Diceros bicornis minor: one gene and its partners. The protein of the gene in region 1 purifies or fractionates together with the protein of each later gene. This does not show direct contact. Links are inferred from orthologs where the notes say so. Each region holds a gene or a part of one and is shown on either strand. Other genes may lie near its edges. The genes, in order: USP11, EIF4B and TCEAL1.

Region 1 (7,195 bases):
GTCTGGAGTGGGGAGGAAGAGAGGCCTACTCATTGGAGGTGTCAGTATTCCACACATACACCCCCGCCCCCCACTCAGTTTGAAGGTCGCAATCGGATCTCCGCAGAGGACGCCATGAAACATCTATTCTTCCTCAGTCTGGGGGAGCGGATCCACAAACTTCCTGACAGTGAGTGGATCTGGGGAATGGAGCTGCCGGTGGGGGGCCTGTGGGAAACAGGACAGCTGCAGACAGCTTGGGCAGGTCGTGTAGGGCTCTGGCTACGCCACCTCTAAGAGGGTACACCCTTGTTCACACGTGTGATGTGTTTATTACAAAAAAAGTTATTTTCGTTTTTAGTTCCTGTCACCTTTCATAGAAATTTTCAAACATACATAAAAAAATAGATGCAACATCACTTTACCTGGTGTGCGTGTGTGTGTGTGTGTGTGTGTGTGTGTGTGTAAGATCGGTCCTGAGCTAACATCTGCCAATCCTCCTCTTTTTTGCTGAGGAAGACTGGCCCTGGGCTAACATCCATGCCCATCTTCCTCCACTTTATATGGGACACCGCCAACAGCATGGCTTGACAAGCGGTGCGTTGGTGCGTGCCCAGGATCCAAACTGGCAAATCCCAGGCCCCGCAGTGGAATGCGCACACTTAACCGCTTGCGCCACCGGGGCGGCCCCTACTTTACCTTTTTTTTTAAGTAAATGTTTCCTTGTAAAATATATACTGAGAAATGCACAGATCGTAAGTATACAGCACAATGAATTTTCACAAACTAGACACACCCATGTAATGGCATCCAGGTCAAAAACCAGGATGGGAGAAGCTCCCCCAGCGTGCCCCCATTTCCTTCACTTACTCCCGGTCCCCTTCCCAAGGGTCACTGCAAATTGGACTTATAACCACATAGATAAGGTTTCCCTGTCTTGTACTTTACAGAAATGGAATCACACGGGGTATTCTCTTTTTATTTTTTTATTTTTATTTTTTTATTTTTATTTTATTTTTTTTGGTGAGGGAGATCAGCCCTGAGATAACATCCGTGCTAATCCTCCTCTTTTTGCTGAGGAAGACCGGCTCTGAGCTAACATCTATTGCCAATCCTCCTCCTTTTTTTTTTTTTTCCCCCAAAGCCCCAGTAGATAGTTGTATGTCGTAGTTGCACATCCTTCTAGTTGCTGTATGTGGGACTCGGCCTCAGCATGGCCGGAGAAGCGGTGCGTTGGTGCGCGCCCGGGATCTGAACCCGGGCCGCCAGTAGTGGAGCGTGAGCACTTAACCGCTAAGCCACGGGGCCGGCCCTGGTATTCTCTTTTTATATCTGACTTGTAAAAACTTTTTAATATGGATATTTTAAAATTAGCTATATTTATATACTAGACCAAATAATAGGTTGAGTCCCCAAGTATTCCAATAGATCATCAACTTGTGGCCAATCTGGTTTTATCTGTATTCCTTCTGATTATTTTGACTCACATCCCAGACATATCGTTCATCTATAAATAATTTCAGCATGTATCTCCAAAATATTCTTTTAAACGTAATGATATTATCACAGCTAAAAAAATTGGCCCACTTCTCATGTCTCCCCACTGGATTAATCTAAATCAAATCCCAGATACCATCCATCACCTAGACTTAACAGGTGGTAATTGTAGTACCATCGTCACACTTGACAGAATTAATAATGATTTCTTGGTGTCATGTAATAGTCTATATTCCACTTCTAGTGTATTTGGTTTGTGTGTGGGATTATTTAACAGACGAAAGTCAGGTCTCTCAAAGAAAAGGCAAATTTTTCTAGTTTGCCCTGTGGGGCCATATGGGAGGTGGTCCTGCATGGCCCCATGGGTCATTCCCCACTTCTGTCTCTCCTCCACGCACAGCTACTTCCATATTTGCACTAAAGGAGATCCAGCTACAAAAGGAGGCCAGCCTTCGATCTTCATCAATGCCTGACTCAGGTAGATGTGGCCCTCGCCCTCTTCCCTGCCTCTTCCACCTACCTGCTTGCCTACCAACAGCCATCCGCTCTGCTTTCCCCCCGCAGGCAGGCCAGCTTTCCGTGTGGTGGACACCGAGTTCTAAGCTGAGTTCTAAGCCACAGATCAAGGCCCCAGCAGGCAGCGGCTGGAGGGATGCCACACCCCTCACAGGGCAGCCCCCCAACTGCATTCTCCCTGCTTGCTGCCTGCCTACCTGCCTGACTCATGCTCGCCTGCCCACGTGTCCCCTGCTGCCTGTCTGGACACCCGACCATTGGCCTGTCAACCCACCTATTGGCCTGTCTGCTGGGTGCTAACAAAGCTCTCATTGCTCCTTCGCCTGGTCTCTCTGTCTGTCTCTCTCTCTGTCTTGGTAGTTGCCAGCGGACAGCATGGCCATGCCAGCCTCCCACACTGAGGCCGGGCCTGTACCCCTCCCCATCAAACCCTCCCCCAGGACCACTACCCCGTGGCCAGCCAAGGGGCCGGAGCTAGCCCAGGCTGGGGATCTCGAGTCAGACAAGATGTGGTGATGCCTTGGGTCTGAGGCTTCCCCTGCCTGCTTTCCTGCCTGCCCCACCTGCCTCATGTTGTGTGGGCTTTTTTTTTTTGTTTCATTCATTGTTGTTTTTTAATTATTTTAAATGAGGTTTTCATTTTTTAAATGCAATATCTCTGTATACAGACTGGCTGGGCTCCACCCCCTGCGTGTGGCCCTCCCACAGTATTTTGTGCAATGAAGCCCCACTCCCAGCCTTTCTAAGGCAGGGACACAGCCCCTATTCGGAACCTTGACCATCACCAGACCCTGGGGTCAGCTAAGGGAAAGCATGCCTCGACCAGTCGCCTTCCTACCCCCGCCTGCCATCCCCAGCCACAGGGGGAACTGGGGACTACCGGAGACTCTCTGGGAGATGGGCGAGGTGGGGGGCCCCCACTCTTTCCCTCCTGCAGTCCCATAGCTGGGGCCTTCTTCCTTCTCAGGGTCTCCCTAGCCCAGCCCTCCTGCCCCCGTCCCACTTGGTGCTGTTGAGTAGGGGCCCTGCCAGGAACTGACCAACTCAATGAGGAGCCATAGTGTGTATATGTGCACAAGCAGGGGCAAAGGGGAGCATGGGGGGTTGTGCCCAGGCATTACCCTCTAACTCCTGGGGAGGGTGAGGCAGGGCAGGGACAGTCTCTGGGGTCAGTCCCAGATGGGTGGTTACCTCCCCTTCCTCCACTCTAAACCCTGGGGCCCTCAGATGGGGTGGGAGGGCAGCAGTGGGGGCCCTCCTAGTGGGGTTTGGGGGGTTGGGTTCCTGAATGCACCATAATTGCTGTATGAAATATTAAAGTCTAAAGTGAAAAACCTGATTGCAAATCCCTGCAGGGGTGGGGGTGGGCTTGACCCAGGGTTAGTACTGGGACCTTGGCGAATTCATACCTGGTCCCCAATGTCTAGGAGAGCACTGAGAGTGGGCCAGGGGCACATCACGACTGTGAAAAAGGCATCTGAGGGGTTGTACACGCAACAGTGGAACATTGAGTTGAAGCAGGTAGGGCAGGCCGAATAGAGGGGCTCAGAAGCAGAGAGAGGAGTTAGATTTACCCAAGAATATGAGGAAGCCAGATAGAGGGTAGAGATAGGTGAGTGTGGAGAGGTTGTTTGAAAGACACTTGGAAGGCCCAATAAAACCAGGAGGTGGGGAGATGAGGCAGAGAGATCCAGTATGACCACTATATGTCTGACCAGGACACCATGAGTTGGGCCAGTTGGAGAGGGAATATGAGAGGAGGGTAGATTTTGGATCACTGAGTAGGTAGGGGAATCCTTTAATACATGGGTCAAATTGAGGAGTTGGGCCATCGATGGAACTGGAAGTTTGGATCATTGGTGTCTAGGAAGTAATGGAAACCATGGGCATGGGTAAGGTGATGCTGGGAAGGATGCAATGGTTTGTGAGAATCCAGAGGTTAAATGGTGCAGCCTGGAACTTGGCCTCAGGTGTGAGGATAGCTGAGGCTTTGGGGGCTGGCATCACAGTAATAAAGACACAATCTTTGCCCCGTGGAGGTTAACTGAAAATAGAGGTAAATTATGAGATTGTGTGTATGGGTGTATGTGTGTGTGGAGGGTGTTAAATTGTGCAGGGAGAGGGTATTCTGGACACTCAAGGCCCAGGGACCTGTGTGCATGGGCCTAGAGGCATGGAAAGGCAAGGTGTGTTCTTGCCTGTGGGAATGGGTGGTGACAGTGAAGGAAGTCACTGAAACATCTGGAATCATGAACCTGTCTTGGGGAATTTGTGGGACGGTCAGGTGAGGACAGCGAATAGGCAGGTAGATGCAGGGAGCCAGAGAGGGAAATGACGTTATCACCAACAGGCAGGGCTGGGAGCCCTAGAAGAGAAAAGGATGGCATAGCCTAGTGCAGTGGTTCTCAACCGGAGAATCCCCACCACCACCACCACCACTAGGGGATGTTTGGCAATGTCTAGAGACACTTTTGGTTGTCCCAATTGGGAGGTGCTACTGGTGTCTTGTGGGTAGAGGCCAGGGATGCAGCTAAACATCCTACAATGCTTCCCACAACAGAAATATCAATGTTGTCTTGGTTGAGAAACCCTGGCCTAGTGCAATAGTTCTCAAACGGTCTCAGGATCCCTTTATATTCTTAAAAATTGAGGACATCCAAAGAGCTTTTGCTTATGTCATGTAGCCCCTGGAAAATTACACCGCACATGCAAGAAAGAATGGCAATGGAAAAGTATTGTGAAAATAGTTTTGACTTTGTAAACCCCCTTAGAGGGTCTCCTGAACCAGTAGAAAGCCTAGGACCACAGTTTGAGAATCCTTGGCCTGGTGTTTAAGATCACAGCTCTAGAACTGGAATTCCTGAGTTCGAACCACAGCTCAGCCATTTACTAGCTGGAGCAAAGTGAATTAATGTTTCTGGACCTCAGCTTGCCTCATTGTTGCCCATGGACCACAGTGATATTATCTGCTGCCTAAGGCTACTATTTACATGCAATAAAGCACTTAAGCAGGGCCGACTATTATTAGTTATTGCTGTAACTCCAACAAATACACAGGGCCTAGGGCTAACTTGCCTTCAACACGTTTGTCTAGAGAATAAATCTGGGCAGGCAGGGAAGCGGCCCGCAGGCCTGGGTGGCGCTTTAGAGGTGGTGACCTTTTTCGCATTGGGTTTTTATGGATCAGAAGGGTAGTGCAATGAAAGAAAGGCATTCTGGTCAGGCTAACAAAGACGCTGCTCGCAGGGTAGAGGCCCCCAGCAGAGCATGGGACCCGTAAGACCAGAACCTGTGTGTGTGTGTCCCTGAGCACTCCTGAATATGTCTTCGTCCACCTCGGGGACCTCTGCCTCCACCTTCCACATTACCGTCTGCCCTGGCTCAACATGGTGTCAGAATCCCACAGGGTACCTTTGTCTTTCTTAGTTCCCAACTGGAGGTTTTACCCCGCCTATTGGTCGCAGTGATCACCGCCCACAGCCCGACGCCTGCCTAGCCCTTCCACGCGTCCAAGCGTGGGGTCCATTTCCAAGATGGAAGTAGCCCCCCGGCGTTTGGGGGGCTCTGTTTCCGCTTCCGGGACCAGAATCCGGAAGTGGCAGTTGAGGGGCCTCTTCCTATCACCAGCTGCGGCGGTTGTGAGAAGAGGGTGAACGGCCATGGCGGCAGTCGCAGCGGATCCGGCGGCTGCGGATGCGGCCGAGGACCGAGAGCCACAGCGCGAAGCCATGCCGGGCCTGGAGAGCCAGCGGCGCCAGATCAAAAACAGCGAGAGTGGGCGAGAGCGTCCACTGCGGACCGGCGAAAGCTGGTGAGGCAGGGCGGCAAGCGGAGCCTCGGCTGAGCGGACGGTGGGGGCGTCGGCTACGGGGCGGCCGTGGTCCACAGGAGAATCGCCGTGGGGGCGGGGGCACTGGCCTGTGGGACGGAGGACGAGAGGGGCGGGGAAGTGCCTGTGAGTGGATCGCCTCCTCTGGGAAAGAGGCGGGGCCTGTGTGGTGGAGCCTGACGCCTGAGAACAAGATGTGGTTTGTTGTGGAAAGGCAGGGGGCAGGGCCTGAGAAGAACGGCCCTGGGGGTGGGGCCAGGCGTGTGTTGGAACTCGGAACCTGGGAAGGAGGCGGTCTCTGCAACAGAGCCCGGGGGCGGGGTCTGTGTGGCGAAACGGGGGCGGTGCCGGGTACCCCGCGGCGCCTGAGCGAGGCCGGGCGGGTGACGTCGGGCAGAAGAGCGGGATCTGAGCCTTACGGCTGTGGGCAGGAGGAGGGAGCTGGCGCCTGGGAACGAGGCTTGTGACGTGGTCCGAGGGGCGTGTCCTGAGCCGGAGGAGAGACTGCAGAGGGGAGGTGGTGTCTGTGAAGCAGAAAATGGCGCCTGCGAATGAGCAAAGTTTGTGACGCGGTGAGGTTTTTGCCTCTGGCCGAGGCCTTCTTCCCGGGACAGGAGAAAGTGCAGGTGATTGGCATGGGAGGGGCCTTCGATGTTACGTTTGTTTTCTGTTTTGGTACTGTTTTGTTTTTGTAATCAGGAAAAAATAGTAATTTAAAAAAAAAGTCCATGCCTATCTTGATAAATCGGCTTGTTCTACTGATTTCTTTGCTAACCAGTGCTTGAAATGAACTGTTTATGGGTTCATTTTATTTCTCGCTAAGTTGCATCCCGTTTTTTAAATTGTGAAATTCGTGAGACCTAAAAAGATGATAGAAAACGTTTACGTAGCGCAGATTGATGGACATTCCATAAAAATAAACGGCCTTTGCTCTTCAAAAATTTCAAGGTCGTGAAAGACAAAGGATGAAGAACTGTTCCAGACTGAAGGAATTAATGGGATTTAACGAGTCATGATAACTAAATGCAACGTGTGATCCTAGATTGGATCCCGGAGGAGAAAAAATAAATTATTTAAAAGTCAGGTTTTTTTCTCATAAAATTAATTTTCTCTCTTTTACTATAAAAGATATTAATGAGAAAATTGGTAAAATTTGACTAAGGTCTGTAGATTAGATATTAATACTGCTAATTTCTTGCTTTTGATAATTGTATTGTGGTTATGAAAGAATATCTTTATTTTTTTGGAAATACATGCTGAAATATTTAGGAGTAAAGAGCCATCGTGTAAGCAGCTTACTCTCAAATGCTTGAAAAAAAAGAGCATATATAAAAATGTATTGAGGGGGCGGGCCCAGTGGTGGCGTAGTGGTTA
Region 2 (7,824 bases), on another chromosome or scaffold:
GCAGCGTGCTTCATGCATTCATGGTTCAAGGGCCAGCCAGAGACTTGGGCAGACAACACCAGAATTCTGGCTCTCTTCTTTACAGGATTCCCCTCTCACTTTCTGAGAGCAGACACTGCCCTGGGCAATGCCTTTCTAATGGCAGAAATGTGGTCGGTTTTCTAGAGAAGCTTCAGCCACCCTGGACCACACTGGGCTGGCCCACCCCACATCAGTACCTTTTTCCAAGTTTCCGCTCCCCTCCAAAATCTGCTTGTCTTTGTTTCACAGCTTTTAGATAGTGGTGGGCTTTGTTTGTTTGTTTGTCTTCTTCCAGAGTTTACTGTTGTTATCTACAAAAGGATCAATCCATTGGGAACTTATTTACTATACCAGAAACAGAACCCCTAGATAATCTAGATATATATTTAAAATTAACCTTATACATTCAAAACTGTGATGAAAAGACTTTTATTTTGGAGAAATACACATCTTTAAAGCAGCAATATATTTTGTTTTCCAGTAATGAACACTAAATGAATCCAGGCATATAAGTCAATATACAGTATAACCTCTTGAAAACCTCAATAAATGTAAATTTCTTGAAAGTCTTACTTCAGCACCAGCAAATATGTACCGAGCACCAACAATATTCCAGATGTTAATTCACGGAAGGCATAAACATAATCAACATGGATGCTGCCCTCCAGGAGCTACCAGACCAGGAGGGAAGGCAGTTCAAGGAGGAAGGTGACAAGGGCCGAAAAGAAGGTGTAGGCACAGCGCTGGTGGGGCTCAGAGGAAGAAGCTCAGAAAAAGCTTCCTAGAAAAGGGGAGTTTGAAGAGCCCTTGAAGGATAGATTTTATTGTTGACCCATTCGGCAGTGAAGGAGGACAGAGTACTCCAGGCAGAGCGAAGAGCAAAGGAAAACAAGACTCAAAGTTAGGAAAGCACAAGGTATACATGGCTGGAATGTAGCAGACCAGGGAGGATAGTAGGAAATAAGTGTGGACCAGTAATCTGGGGCTGGATATCCACAGCCTGGAGTATCTGCCTAGGCCACAGAGAGCCATGGAAGGTTTGCCAGCAGGGGAATGTGTTCAGACCTATGCTTTAGGAAATAAATCTGGCAGCTACTTATTACATGTATTGAAGCAGGGAAAGACTACAGGCAGGAAGACTCAGAAGAGTGACGCATGGTCAGGGTGAGAAATGACACGGGAAATGATAGGAAAATGGAAAAGAGGATACGAATATAAGAGACGCTGCAAATGTTAGGCCTTGGCAAGTGATTTTCAATAACCAGTTTCTGACCCACAGAAACTGAGATAACAAATGTCGGTGGTTTTATGCCAGTAAGTTTTAGGGTAATCTGTTATACAGCAGTGGATAATTAACAGTTTATTTCTTCCAGATTTCTTCAGAAAAAATGATACAAAGTACTTGTCATAGACTTATTTTGCGATTTTAAGTTTTCTTTATTTCTATTTATTTATTTATTTTGCTGAGGAAGATTCACCCTGAGCTAACATCTGTTGCCAATCTTCCTCTTTTTTTGCTTGAGGAGGATGAACCCTGAGCTAACATCTGTGCCAGTCTTCCTCTATTTTGCATGTGAGCCGCCGACACAGCATAGCAGCTGACACAGCATGGCCGCCGCCAAGTGGTGTAGGTCTACGCCCAGGAACCCAACCCTCGAACCCAGGCTGCCAAAGTGGAACACGCAAACTTAACTACTAGGCCACAGGGCAGGCCCCAGTTTTCTTTACTTTTGAGAAGTCTCTGGGAAACTGAAAAGAACGTGGACCTGATAAGACAGGCAGCTCTGGGTCTGCAGTTCTGCCACTTGCTGGCTATGTGCACTTGGGAAAGGTACTTACTGTTTCCAAGCCTCAGAGTCATTATCAAAAATAGGATTAATAATATGAACCTTTCACCAACACACCGCTTGGCAAGCCATGCTGTGGCGGTGTCCCATATAAAGTAGAGGAAGACGGGCATGGATGTTAGCCCACGGCCAGTCTTCCTCAGCAAAAAGAAGAGGATTGGCAGATGTTAGCTCAGGGCCGATCTTCCTCACAAAAAAAAAAATTAAAAATAATAATATGAACCTTAGAGGGCCATTGTGAGGACTAAATAAGCTAGTTTGTTTAGTGCTTGGTATGACCCTGGGATATATTAGGTGCTTAGTAACTGAAAGTCTCTACCTACCCCACAGGTCCCTACCTTATCTGGCTCTTCTTTGAACTTTCCGAAATCTACTGTTTCCAATAGTCAATTTTTTTTCTTAATTCTCCTATATCATTCCATTTTAACGATCCAAACCAGAAGAAATACAGAATCTCAGGCCTCGCCCTGATCCTACTGAATTGGAATCTGACTTTTAACAAATTGCCCGGGTGACTTGTAAGCACATTAAAATATGAGAAGCATTGGACTAGTAGCTATCTCAAGTTTCATATGGCTTAAACAGAGCCCACACACTCTCTCCAAACCTGCTCCGCCCCGGGCTTTGCCTTCTGAGTAAACGGCATCACCCAGGTGTTCATGCCAAAACCTGTGCCCTTCACATCTAATCAGTCTCCAAGTCTACTTCCAAAATGTACCTGCATCTCTCTCTTTCCATCTCTACACTCATATCTAAGCCACTATCTCCTCTCACCAGGATTACAGCAGCCAGGGCCAACTTATCCAGTAGGCACAGCAGGCTCAGTACCTAGGCCCCACCATACTTTTAGAGGCCCACAAAAATATTTTAGTTTATTTTAAAATCATAAGAAAAAAATAAACATTTAGGTCAAAGAAAATGGTTTAATGTATCATATTAATACATTTGCGTTTACACCAGCACAATCATAAAATATAATTTTCAATATTGTTTTTATGGAGAAGGGTACAAAAGTCCCTAGAGTCCATGAAAAGTCACAATGGGACCCTGGCAGCAACGAGCTTTTAACTGTCTTTCTCTTCCATTACTGCGTCTGTATAATCCACTCTCCATTCAGTAGCCTGAGTAATCTTCTTGTTTTTAAATTCAAGCATGACTTCTATACAGTAAAGTGCACAAATATTTTTTTTTTTTTTTTTTTTTTTACTTTTCCCCCAAAGCCCCAGTGGATAGCTGTATGTCATAGCTGCATATCCTTCTAGTTGCTGTATGCGGGACGCGGCCTCAGCGTGGCCGGAGAAGCAGTGCGTGGGTGCGCACTCGGGATCGGAACCGGGCCGCCAGCAGCGGAGCGCACGCACTGAACCGCTAAGCCACGGAGCCGGCCCAAGTGCACAAATCTTAAGTGTACTATGTGATGAACTTTTACATAAATATCCACTCATGAAACACATCAAGATACCAAGTAATCCTTTTCAAAATTTTACTTCGTTATGACATTCCCTTGTCTAAAATCCTTTCATGCTTTCCCAACCCACATGGAAGAAATTCCAAACTCCCAAACCTGGTTTAATAGTTCACATGATCCAACCCCTACCTATCGCTCAAGCTTCATCTTGTACCACTCTCCCCCTCCCTCACCATACTCGAGCTACCAGTCCTCTTTTTTTTTTTTTTTTTTGGTGAGGAAGATTGTCCCTGAGCTAACACCTGTGCCCATCTTCCTCTATTTTGCATGTGGGACCCCACCACAGCATTGCTTGATGAGTGCTGTGTAGGTCCGTGCCCCGAGTTCCAGGGGGATCCAGGCCACAAACCCAGGACTGCCTACAAGGAGCACGAGAACTTAACCATTACGCCACCTGGCCGCCTGCTACCATCCTTTAAATCCCTCAACCTGCCAAGATCCTCCGGCCTTGGAGCTTTTAATTGAGTGTGCATCCTCTGCCCTCTCCTAAAGCTCTTCCTAAAGACGTTCACAGGGCTGCCTATTTGTAATTCAGATCTCCATTTACATATTACTTCCACAGAGGCTTTCGCTGACCAGGCAATCAAAAGTTGCATCCAGTCGCCTGTTATCAAATCACCTTGATTACCTGCAGAGTGCTTATCATTTCTAACATTTTATTTATTCACTGCATATTGCCCGTCTTTCCTTCACTGGACTATAGCGTCCTTTGAAGCGGTTTTGTTATCTCTTGTACCCAAAAAGCCAGTATCAGTGCTTGACACAGGGCAGGTGCTCAATGAAAATTTTCACGGCATGAAATACTAATATATGATAAAATGTAGCATTAGCTGGATAGCTGTGAAATACGGGCCTGAGTCTGACTAAAGCTAGTCATTGAAAAGAAAGATTAAACGAGGTAAAAGCTGACGGCAATTAAGTGTTCAGTATTTGTTACTTACTTATTCCTTCTAAACATGCCCAATTAAAATGATCCTTAAGCAGGATATTGCGCTTGTTTTGCACGAAAAGTGATTTTAAAAGAAACTTAGTAAATAAACCACAGATGTTTTTACACATGGGAAGAAGAAAAAAAAGGAAGAAAGAAACTCAGAATCTTCCCTTCCAGAGAATCAACCGCAGCACACCCGTTCCAGGTTCCAGCCGCTGCATTCTGACCCCGAGCAATAGAACCAGCGAGCACCACCCCGCCCCTTCCGCCCACCCCTCGGCCGGAAGTCTGAGAATCAGAGACCCCGCCCCGGGCTCAGAGCTGCCCCCTCGGCCGCGCGTAGCCATACGTAAAGCGTGGGGGTTTCGCGACAGCCCAGGCCCCACCCCTTTGGCCACATGTCACGCAGGTCTTCCCCGTCGGACGCCGCGCCACCTCCTCGCGCTGCTTTACGAACCCAGAGCAGCGCCGCCCCGCCCCTCCCAGTTTCGCGTCTCCTAGCCCGACGGGCCCGCTATAATCACGTGATCGCCTCATCCGGGTCCTTTGCGTTCTCTCTCCCTCTCTCAACATGGCGGCCTCAGGTGAGTGAGCGGCCGAGCGCGGCCAAGGACCGGGCTCCGAAGCCACTCTCCGAGCGTGATCCAGTGGTTCCTTGGAGTTGGAGAGCGGGCGGCACCGCTTCCCTTCGGGTTTTGGGGCTGCGGCAGGCTGGCGGCTTGGCCGTGTTAGGTTATCGCCTCGGGATGTTTTGGGGGGAGAGGAAGGACACCTTCCCCTCTCCCTCACACCCTTTTCACCCCGTGTGCGCAAGGTTGGAGTGGGGAGTAATGATGGGCTCTGGCTAGAGTTGGAGTGAGCAGGAGGCGCAGAGAGATCTGTGGGAGGCGTGAGGCCTTCTCACACACGGGCAGCCCTGTGCCCGCGGGAAGGCGTGGAGAAAGGGAGGAGGCGGTTGGCGCGCGGACGGGTGCACACCAGACCAGGTCTCCGAGGCGCGAGGCCGTTGCGGACGCGAGGGGGGGCTGGGGAATAAAGGGGGGGGCAGTTAGAACGCGAGCGCGAGTCGGCGGAGGGGCGGGGGAAGGTGGCGATGCGCGTGCGCGGTAGGAGAGGCCAGGGTAGTGGAGACAGGCGCGCCTTAAAAGCACGCGCGAGAGCCCAGATGGGGAGGTGTTCCGCGCCTGTTTTGCTTTCCTTTGTGTCCTTCCACTTTCTGCTCTTCCCCTTTTAGAGGTGGCTTGGTCCCTATGTTCTCCCGAGGGTAAATGTGTTAAGTTTGGAGGTTGAAGCTACTGGAGTTAGGTGGGGGTAGGGAACCCAGTGCGGTGCGCCCACGTGTTGGCGGAGAGGAAGCAAGGGTGGAGACCCAGATTTCTTGTAGGCTTTTTTTCTTATTCAATCAACACATACTTACTGAACGAAAACTATATGCCAGGCACGGTTCTAGGTGTTGGAGATGCAATGGGGAACAAGATCAAATCCCTTGACAGCTTCCATTTTGGTTGAATTTTGATAGCTCCAGTGGTAGAGTTCAGCTCTCTCTTTTTTTAGATAGCTGCACAACTACTACAGAGTGCTTTTAAAATAATACTAGTGGCTAGAGTTGGTTTCCTTTTTAGACTTCTTCGGGAGAGGGAATGTCACTGTCAGGCAAATCTATTTGCATTTCTAATAGGCTTACCAGTGAGCTGTGCAACGATTTCGTAGCATTGGTTTTAGTTTTGGGGATATAGTTTCTTTTTCCTCGCATGACCCTGCATTCTACAAAACATTTATTGAACCCTGCTATCTCTGGACACTCACTTCTAACCAAGAATGTATCTTCTCTGTTATTACATAGGAAACTAAGGATTACGTATGTCTTTGGAAAATGTTGAGGAAATTGAGGTGTATTTGAGCTTAATTCCCTTCATTGGCATAGCACTTGACAATTGACCAAGCACTTTTATATGTATTGTCTTATTTGATTCTCTTATTTGATTGTCTGTGAGATAATGTAGGCAGATGGTGGTATCTCCCAGCTGAGGAAGATGAAATTTTGTTCAAGGTCAAACTGCTTGCCAGTCGAAATTTTTGAGACTCTTGACTCTTCTACATTATCAACTTGGAAATGACAAAGTTGGCTTCCATGTCATCATAAATTTGGGATGCTCCCTGAAAGCTTCATCTGAAGTAGAGTACTTACTTGGCCTGGATTTGCCATCTTGATGGCTTAGTGTCATAATTTAGTGAAAAGCCTATATTCCCTTTCTCCATAACTTTTGTGGAATTTTTAGAGGTGGAAGATAATGTTAGCAATCCGTGTCCTTCATTTTACGGAGTTGAGTGAAATTTGCACTGGTTAAAGTGGTTTGCTTAGTCTTTGTCCCCTTCACCTGTTCTTCGATGTTTACCCTACACCCTTGGAAGCCCTCATGTCCTTTAAGTTGGTTCCATAAATCTTTCTGGCTTGTGTACTATGTGTAAGGGAACTACGCTAGTGTCTGAGCAGAAGGTTACATCTGACGGTCTGCCCTTGAGGAACTTGGGGTTTATCAAATTTCTTTCCTTACTTTGAATCTTCCAATTGCATTGATTTTGTCAAGTGACCAGTATTCACAGATGTGGCTGTATTGATGAGACTATAAAATTCTCAGTGTATTTTCAGTATACTACTTGATAATGCTCAGTGTCTTGTTGAAAATAGACCTTATATGTTCTCAGTGAAAGTACATGATAAAATTTCATAGGCCTCTTCTACTGTTAAATGACACCAAAAAATTCTTTGCAGCAATACCAGTCAGTATCCATTATGACCCATTATTGACCTTCAAGAACTGAAAGTGTCCCAGATTTGACTATTGAATCTGCTCTCCTTACCTAAAAGGAATCGAATGTGCTTGATACAGGTTAACATTTTTTGAGACTAAAAAGCTTTAAAATTGGAAATAGTGTATGTATGCCCACACAAGGCCTTCATTTGCATAGCGCTTCAAAATGCCATTGCATGTGGCATCTTGTTTTATGGGGAGAGGATGGTGTCCAATGGTTGTTTTCATAAAATGCTGACCCTTATAGTTAAAAATCACTTCAGTGGTTGCCATTATATACTGTTCACATGTTACCTATTTTCAAATCCCATCCCCTACTAATATTTGTTATTCTAGGAGTAAGATACCCAGATTCAGAAGGCCAAGACTTAAAACTCCTTATAAAAATTCAAGGACAGGGGCTGGCCCTGTGGCGTAGCAGTTGAAGTGCCCGTGCTCTGCTGCTGGCGGCCCGGGTTCGGATCCCGGGCGCACACCGAGGCACCGCTTGTCAGGCCATGCTGTGGCAGCGTCCCATATAAAGTGGAGGAAGATGGGCATGGATGTTAGCCCAGGGCCAATGCTATAGGAGCCAATCTCTGCATAACTGCTTTCTTTCAAAGCATAGAGTAGGTCTAGAATATAATCTGGTTGGTCATGAATGATAACTTTTGGAGTAGGATTAGTGTTAAGTCACTTGGGAAAAACATGGAAACTTCACATTCAAGGCCGTTTGTCATCCAACAGTGATTTCTCAACCAGGAG
Region 3 (7,217 bases), about 56 Mb from region 1:
GTCAGGAGAGGTCCCCACTCAGGCCAAACGGTGTTCCTCAGAGAAGCCCCTGTGAGCTGGGCAGCGTGGAGTCATAGCACCCTAGAGTTGGAGGGGACCTCATTCATTGCTCTTCCACTGCCCCTCCCCCCACCTTTTAGGGAGAAGAAGAAGGACACAAACAGAGGCAAGGAGAGGGGTAGAAGGCTCCCAGGCCTCCAGAGCCCTCCAGCGAGTGAGTGACAGCCTGAGTCCTGCCTAGCCCAGAGCCTGGGACTCTCTCCCTCTGGGCCAATGTTGGACCTGCCTTTCCTGTCCCTGAGTGTTTCCTAGCAGCCTGAGTTTCTACTCTACCTTTCCTCAGAGCCCCTTCCTTGTTTCTCTGGGCATGTACAGGATGTGTGTGTGTGTGTGTGTGTGTGTGTGTGTGTGTGTGTGTGTCTAGACCCAGTTAGTGTGAGGCCAGAAGCAGCAAAGAGAAGGCTCTTATCATTGCATTTCCCACTTGGCTATTTCCCCTGGGGTGGGGGCGGGGGAGCGGGAGAGGAGAGCCTGAGAGCCACAGGCTGGACAGGGCCTGCTGCAGCGCACAGCAGCAAGTCTTGAGACCAAAGTACTGCCATAGGTGTCATTAGGAAAGAATGCAGAGGCTGCAGAAGCAGCAGGGGAACCTCTGGGCTGGAGAGGGCAGACAGGCTCTGCAAAATGAAACCAGACCTCTATGGGGTCTGTGCTGTAGAGGGGCTCACAGGGAGGGGGCTCTGTTCTGCCACAGAAGTGCAGCCTCACGAGGGAACAGGAATCTCTGAACCAGAAACCCATCCTGGGCTTCCTCAGATCCCCCAGAGAAAGGCCTCGCCCCTGGAGGCTGTTGTCATAGCAGCAGCTGCCAGGGGCTGACTGCCTTCCCCCTTGCCCGCCTGGCTGCCCTGCCTGCCTTCTGATACTTTCAGCTCCCGCTACCTGAAAAGGCCTGTGCCGCACACCCCGGCTGCGTGTAAAGGTGTCTGGAGCCCACTGCCCAGGAGCAGTTTAACAAAGTGGTTTAAGGTTCAATCATTCATGTCCTACTGCCAGGGTTTAAATCCCATCTGGGCTACTTACTATCATCTGTTTCCATGGCAATAATTTGTCACCTCTCAGAGCCTTAGTTATCGCACCTTTAAAATGGAGTTCCTTAGGGCCGGCCCCGTGGCTTAGCGGTTAAGTGCGCGCACCGCTACTGGCGGCCCGGGTTCGGATCCTGGGCGCGCACCCACGCACCGCTTCTCCGGCCATGCTGAGGCCGCGTCCCGCATACAGCAACTAGAAGGATGTACAACTATGAATACAGCTGTCTACTGGGACTTTGGGGGAAAAAAAGGAGGAGGATTGGCAACAGATGTTAGCTCAGAGCCGGTCTTCCTCAGCAAAAAGAGGAGGATTAGCACAGATGTTAGCTCAGGGCTGATCTTCCTCACACGCACACACACACACACAAAAATGGAGTTCCTTAGACTTAAACTCTCACTAGCACTAGTGAGCCAAGCACCATTTAGGTCTTCACAGGACCCTAAATCAGCAGTATCAAATCATATCTATCAGAATTATTTCACGGCCCCCACCCAGAGCACACAGAGACAAATAGCAGACCACATTCCTTTGTAACATGGTGGTCACCATGGCAGAACCACCTTCACCTTATTCCTTCTTGAGAGCCCTTTCTTTCAAGGGAACCCCAAATCAAGGCAGAGACTTAGAGCCAATATGAAGACACAGTCTTCATTCCTCCTTTCCCGGTTCTAATCCTTAAATCTCCCTTGTCTGCCCCCCCAGTTTACCAAGTTCTCATCAAGGGTTAATTCATACTGGTTTGGCAGCTTTCAGGGGCAACTGTGTCTTCTATCAGCAGCACTAGAAAGTAATCCCACCCTCAGAAGTCCTACTGAGAGTGGAAAGGAGGAGAACTGGCCTGACAGGGCACACTCCCGGCTGGCACACCCAACAGGGAAAAGGAATTTTTTCATTTGGAGTCAGAGCTCTTTGCTGAGATCTCCTTTAGATCTTTCCTGAGTTTGCTGAATTTATTATCGTATTTAGTACTAATGGCGTGCTTTAAATTAATATTTTGTAGCTCATGTCCTGAATGACAGAATGAGGATTCAAAGAATGAGGGAATGAATCGAACAGGACAACATTTAATCCAGAAAAACAGAAGCTTCTGTACTTGTTTAAAATTAAAAAGATTTACACAAGTGCATTAACAGGGATGTATGAAAGAGATCTGGGGGTCTCAGTTGACTTCAACTTAAAGTGTGATATGGCATCCACAAAATCTAGTATGATCTTAGGATGCATCTATAGATGTATAGTGGCTATTCTAGAATGAGGGCTGTGATAAGATCACTCCATTCTACACTAGGCAGAATATTCAGTATTTTCAGAGACATTTACAAATTCAGAAGCATGTAGGATGGTGAGTGACTTTGAAAAAATATATCACCTCAGAAAGAGCTGAAATAACTGGGGAGATTAAACCTAAAAAAAAGTCTTGGTGAGAACATAATTGTTTAAGGATTAAATGAGATAGCATATTGAAAGTGCTTAGTGCAATGCCTGGCATAAGTACTCAATTAATGTTAATAACAAAAGAATGATAATTAGTAGTACTATTAGCACTAAGTCATTCTATTATTATTATTACTATTACTATAATTATAGTTAATGCTTATAGAGTGCTTTCTATGTGCTAGGCACTATTCCAGGTCCTTTACATATACTGACTTATTTATCCCTCTTACCAATCCTATGAGGGAGGTATTACTATATCTCCAATTTTGCAGATGAGGAAGTTGAGTCACAGAAAGGTCAAGTAGATTTCCCAGTGTGTCTCACAGATGGGAAGGGGAAAGAACCAGAACATTAACTCTGGCAGTGTCAGGCTATCAAGGGTAAAAGGCACTTTTGTTATAAAATACTTGTTTTGTACGACTCCAGAGGGCAGAACCAGGACCAATGTGTGTGAACTACTTGGAGGCAGATTTCAGCTCAACAAAAGAAAAAAACACTCTGAATGATTAGAACTGTCTGAAATTTCAATGAGATGTCTTTTAAGGTAGTGAGTTCTTCATCCCAGGATGTAAGGGAAAAAAGGATAGAAATGAATGAAATGGGGCTCCTCCTGGAAAGAAACCACACAAATGATGAAGCTAACCATCGGTGAAAAGGATAAAGAAGGTATAGTGAAACTTGGTTTAAAAGACACATCACTGAAAAATTGAAAAGTAAAACAGTTGTGGAAACGATATAAAAGTGAACTAATATCTGTCTTGCTGCTATCTCAACACAAAGTAAATTAGACGGAGAGAAGCGACACAAAGCTCTTAAAACAGGAAATTTCACACATGAATTTCTGTTTGGAAACTTACTAGACAGCTCGGGTTTGAAAAAAACAATCCCAGGATCCTCACAGATCTGATGGCCACCTACCCTGAAAGTGTAAACTACAGAGAGGTATAGTCTGATTTCTGGAGGAAAGGGCATCTACATGAGGAAGTAGCACCCAAGCTGATGCGAGTAGGTGAGAGGCATGCATGAGGCTGAAGATCATAAAACACCATTAGATCCAAAAATATATACTTGTAATGACAATTGAGTATGTGAGCATGATTTTAATCCTGCTACTCAGTGTGTGATTAACAGAATTATTGCATAGTTTAATAGGAATGTCCTCTGTGGTGAATCTATCTTTTTGCGTCCAGCAGTCCCAGGACCCAAATATTTGCTGATTTAATGAACTAATATAAACTTTCTCAACCAGCAACACCAGAGGTGGCTGGTTAAGGATTTAGAGTTCCAGCAAAATCTCTTTCTTCTATTACCAATAATAACTACTGAATATATGTATATACATACATATACACACACATAATAGTATGTATGTATATATGTGTATATATATACATAAATATATAATAATGCCACACTCTCCACTAAATATGCTCCCATTTCAGGTAAGTTTTCAGACTATTTGTACTTAGATGGACAAATGTGTATTTTGATTTATGAAAATCAAAGTGTTCAATCTTTTTAGATTTATATACTTTACAAACAACTTTTTCTAGAGTTCTAGAATTGAATGATTACCAACTTAGAATGGAGCTTCTATTCGTAATATAGGTCTGAAGGCTCAAAAAAAAAATAAAATCCTGAAGTCATGGAAAAGTGAAAGCTTATCTTTCATCAAAGTGACAAGAGATGAAAACCATGTTGATCGAGCCTAAGTGGACATGATGGAGTTATGAATGTGGATTAAAACTGGGAGAGGTGGTATATGATATTGATTCATTAATGAGAAATAGTCGAATTTCAGTGGAGGATCTGGACTGTAGAGGAAATAATGGGCCTTAGTGGCTGATGACAGGAGAATAAGGGAGAGGGTATCAGGCAAAGCGGCAGAGAGGAAGAGGCAATAAACCCCAAGACTAGACGCTGATCGTCTCTGGTAACCAGGAAAAGGCAAATATAAACAAAGAGAGGTGAGTGACGGTGCTTGGTGTGTTGGGGGTCAGGAAATACTGTCAGGTTGCTGCAGCACGGCCGCCGGTCAAAGCGGTAACTGGGGATCTGAGCTCGGCGGTGACGCGCGGCCCTCACGTGACCAGGAGCCTGTGTCTGCCCAAGTCTCTCTCGTCCTGGTCCTTTTTGCCTGTCCAGACAGCGTCTGCCTATTGCCCTTTGGTCGAGGGGAAAAGCACAACGAAGTAAGTCCCCTTGGTCCTCTTAAATCGGTGTGAGTGTCGGTGCCGCCCCGTAAACCCTGGAATCGGGATGGCAGCGTCCAGGCCTTTCCCTATGCCCAGCCCCGCCCCCCGCGCCCACAGTTCGGTGCAAAAAATGGTGGTTTAGAGGTGGGGTAGGGAGGTGAGTGAGCCCCCCCTCCCCGGGAGGGAGACACAGACACTTAGAAATAGTTTCTAAGCCATCTTTCGCTTCCACTTCCCGCCTGAAAAGAAATGACGAGCATTGCGGGGTGGAGGGGTAGGGGCACGGAGGACCAAGCTTGAGATGGGGCATCGGGGGGAGGGGAACTAGAAAGGGGCTGGCGTGGGGGCGGCGGCTGGTGCCCAGAAAAAGGGCGTGTGTGTCAGTCAGTCTTTCCCTCTTCTCCACTCCCCGCCCCCTACCCTGTCTTGCGTCTGTCTGCAGGTCTGCAGGTCGCAGCGGGGCACCTCGAGAGGACGCCTGGGAACAAACGGCCAGGAGAGGTCCAGGTCGGGGAAGGGGTGGGCAGTGGGCTAGGATGGAGTGAGAGGGAGGACGCTGATGGGCGCGGAGTCCGCGGCACCACCGCCCCGCCCCTGCCACTGCGGGAGAGGCCTGTGGCAAGGCTTGCTGGGAAAATGGTGGGCTTTCGGAAAGGAGGGGGCGACAAGGGCGGGGGGACGAGACGCGGCGGGGTCCCCAGGGCCAGAAAGCCTCTCAGCAAGCGTAGGTTGGAGGACCTGGGCCCCGAATCTGGAAAAGGCAGGTTATTGGAACCCATGGCCCGGGTTTTGGTCCAGCCATCAAGTATTCTGACTCGACTCTGCCTTTCTTGTCTCCTATGAATAACTGTGCTTAAAAAAGACGATTCTCAACATGGAAAAATCCTGCAAAGAGAATGAAGAACAGCCACAGAGCGCGCCCAAGGCAGATGAGGAGCGGCCTCCTGTGGAGCACTCTCCTGAAAAGCACTCCCCGGAGGAACCCTCTTCGGAGGAGCAATCCTCGGAGGAGGAGTTTTTTCCCGAGGAACTCCTTCCTGAGCTCCTTCCTGAGATGCTCGTGTCCGAGGAGCGCCCTCCGCAGGAGGGCCTGTCTAGGAAGGACCTTTTTGAGGAGCGCCCTCCCATGGAGCAGCCTCCTTGTGGAGTGGGAAAACATAAGCTAGAAGAAGGAAGCTTTAAAGAAAGGCTGGCTCGCTCTCGCCCGCAATTTAGAGGAGACATACATGGCAGAAATTTAAGCAACGAGGAGATGATAAAGGTAGCAGAGGAGATGGAAGAGATGAAAAGAGTACGCAACAAATTGATGATCATGCACTGGAAGGCAAGACGGAACCGTCCTTATCCCATTTAATGTGTTCAGCGTTTAATTCTGTTTTGCCTGATATAAGTATTGCCACCTGAACTTTGCATTTTTCTCATATACCTTTCCCCATCTTCTTAATTTTAACTTTTTATGTGGCTTTATTTTAGGTGTTTCGCTTGTAACTGGCATAAAATTGGGTTGCCCCCCCCAATGTGCAAGTCCCTCTCTTTCAGTCCTGAGTCTCACCCATTTGCATGAAAAGATGTACATTATATATTGTGAAGTGAAAAAAAGCAATTTTCAAGAAGTATATGTAGTATCCCAGTTTTGTAAAAAAAATGTATATTTATATATTAATATGCAAAGAAAAAACTGAAAGTATATACTTCAAAGGCTTAACAGTGACTGTGTGGTAAGATAATAGGTGATTTTTTTGGTTTTCCATTTTTGCTTTATAGGAATTTCTCATTTTTTCAACACGAACACATTTTACTTGTGTTGCAAAAAAATCCCAATATAATGAAAAATTGTAAAACAATTTAAAAAACTGTCAATCAGCTTATAAAGACAATGTGGCACTTAATAAATACTTGTCAGAACTTAAAAAAAGAAAAGTAAATCCCATGTTTCTTCTGAATCTCTTATGCCGAAATATAAACCAGGTACTTATATTTGTTTAAAGGTCATTCTTTTCCCGTTTACATAGGAATAATACTTGGCTTACAAGGCTGCTGTGGAACCAAATGAGGTAAAGATTGCATGAGCTGTGTGTTTCTTTCCCCCACCCGCACATGCAGGACCCCAGCCCCTATAGATTCCCTTCAAATACACAGAGTAGTACCCAAAGGAGATCTCACTTGTGCTCACAAATAATTCCTGTGAGATTCCAGGTGAGTGCCACATTCTATTTCTGTCCTCCTATTCTCTTCCCTTGGATACAATCATGTCTGCTGGGCACAGCTGTTCCTTCTCCTGGGTTCTGCTCCTTCCGTGGTCCAAAGTGCCAGCGCAAAGCCTCACTGATTGCTCTGGAGTCCCTGCCGGGCCAAAGCTGAACTGTGTCTCCTACTGATATATGGAGAATGCACCTTCTCCAGCTTTAATATTAACACTTCTCCAGGTGGATGCCATCCCAGTGTTCCTTAAACCTCCATGTCTTAAAGAATTCTTAGCAAAATAGTCCTTCC

What was found.
Region 2: the proteins of USP11 (region 1) and EIF4B purify together in Homo sapiens (affinity purification with western blotting; 3 studies listed by BioGRID, with this or other methods). This does not show direct contact. The link is inferred for Diceros bicornis minor from reciprocal best matches to the Homo sapiens genes USP11 and EIF4B.
Region 3: the proteins of USP11 (region 1) and TCEAL1 purify together in Homo sapiens (affinity purification with mass spectrometry; 4 studies listed by BioGRID, counting the BioPlex papers as one, with this or other methods). This does not show direct contact. The link is inferred for Diceros bicornis minor from reciprocal best matches to the Homo sapiens genes USP11 and TCEAL1.

Annotation. Positions count from the first base shown.
Region 1 is NC_080781.1:41,032,265-41,039,459, forward strand, and holds the start of USP11 (ubiquitin carboxyl-terminal hydrolase 11), read left to right. Parts: upstream 1-4,176; 5' UTR 4,177-5,651; coding exon 5,652-5,803; intron 5,804-7,195. Other genes in the region: CDK16 (cyclin-dependent kinase 16), read left to right, coding at 79-169, 1,877-1,954, 2,041-2,078.
Region 2 is NC_080756.1:17,197,933-17,205,756, reverse strand, and holds the start of EIF4B (eukaryotic translation initiation factor 4B), read left to right. Parts: upstream 1-4,767; 5' UTR 4,768-4,838; coding exon 4,839-4,851; intron 4,852-7,824. UniProt on the Homo sapiens protein: Required for the binding of mRNA to ribosomes. Functions in close association with EIF4-F and EIF4-A. Binds near the 5'-terminal cap of mRNA in presence of EIF-4F and ATP.
Region 3 is NC_080781.1:96,664,793-96,672,009, forward strand, and holds TCEAL1 (transcription elongation factor A protein-like 1), read left to right. Parts: upstream 1-4,544; 5' UTR 4,545-4,721; intron 4,722-5,166; 5' UTR 5,167-5,231; intron 5,232-5,586; 5' UTR 5,587-5,598; coding exon 5,599-6,078; 3' UTR 6,079-6,705; downstream 6,706-7,217.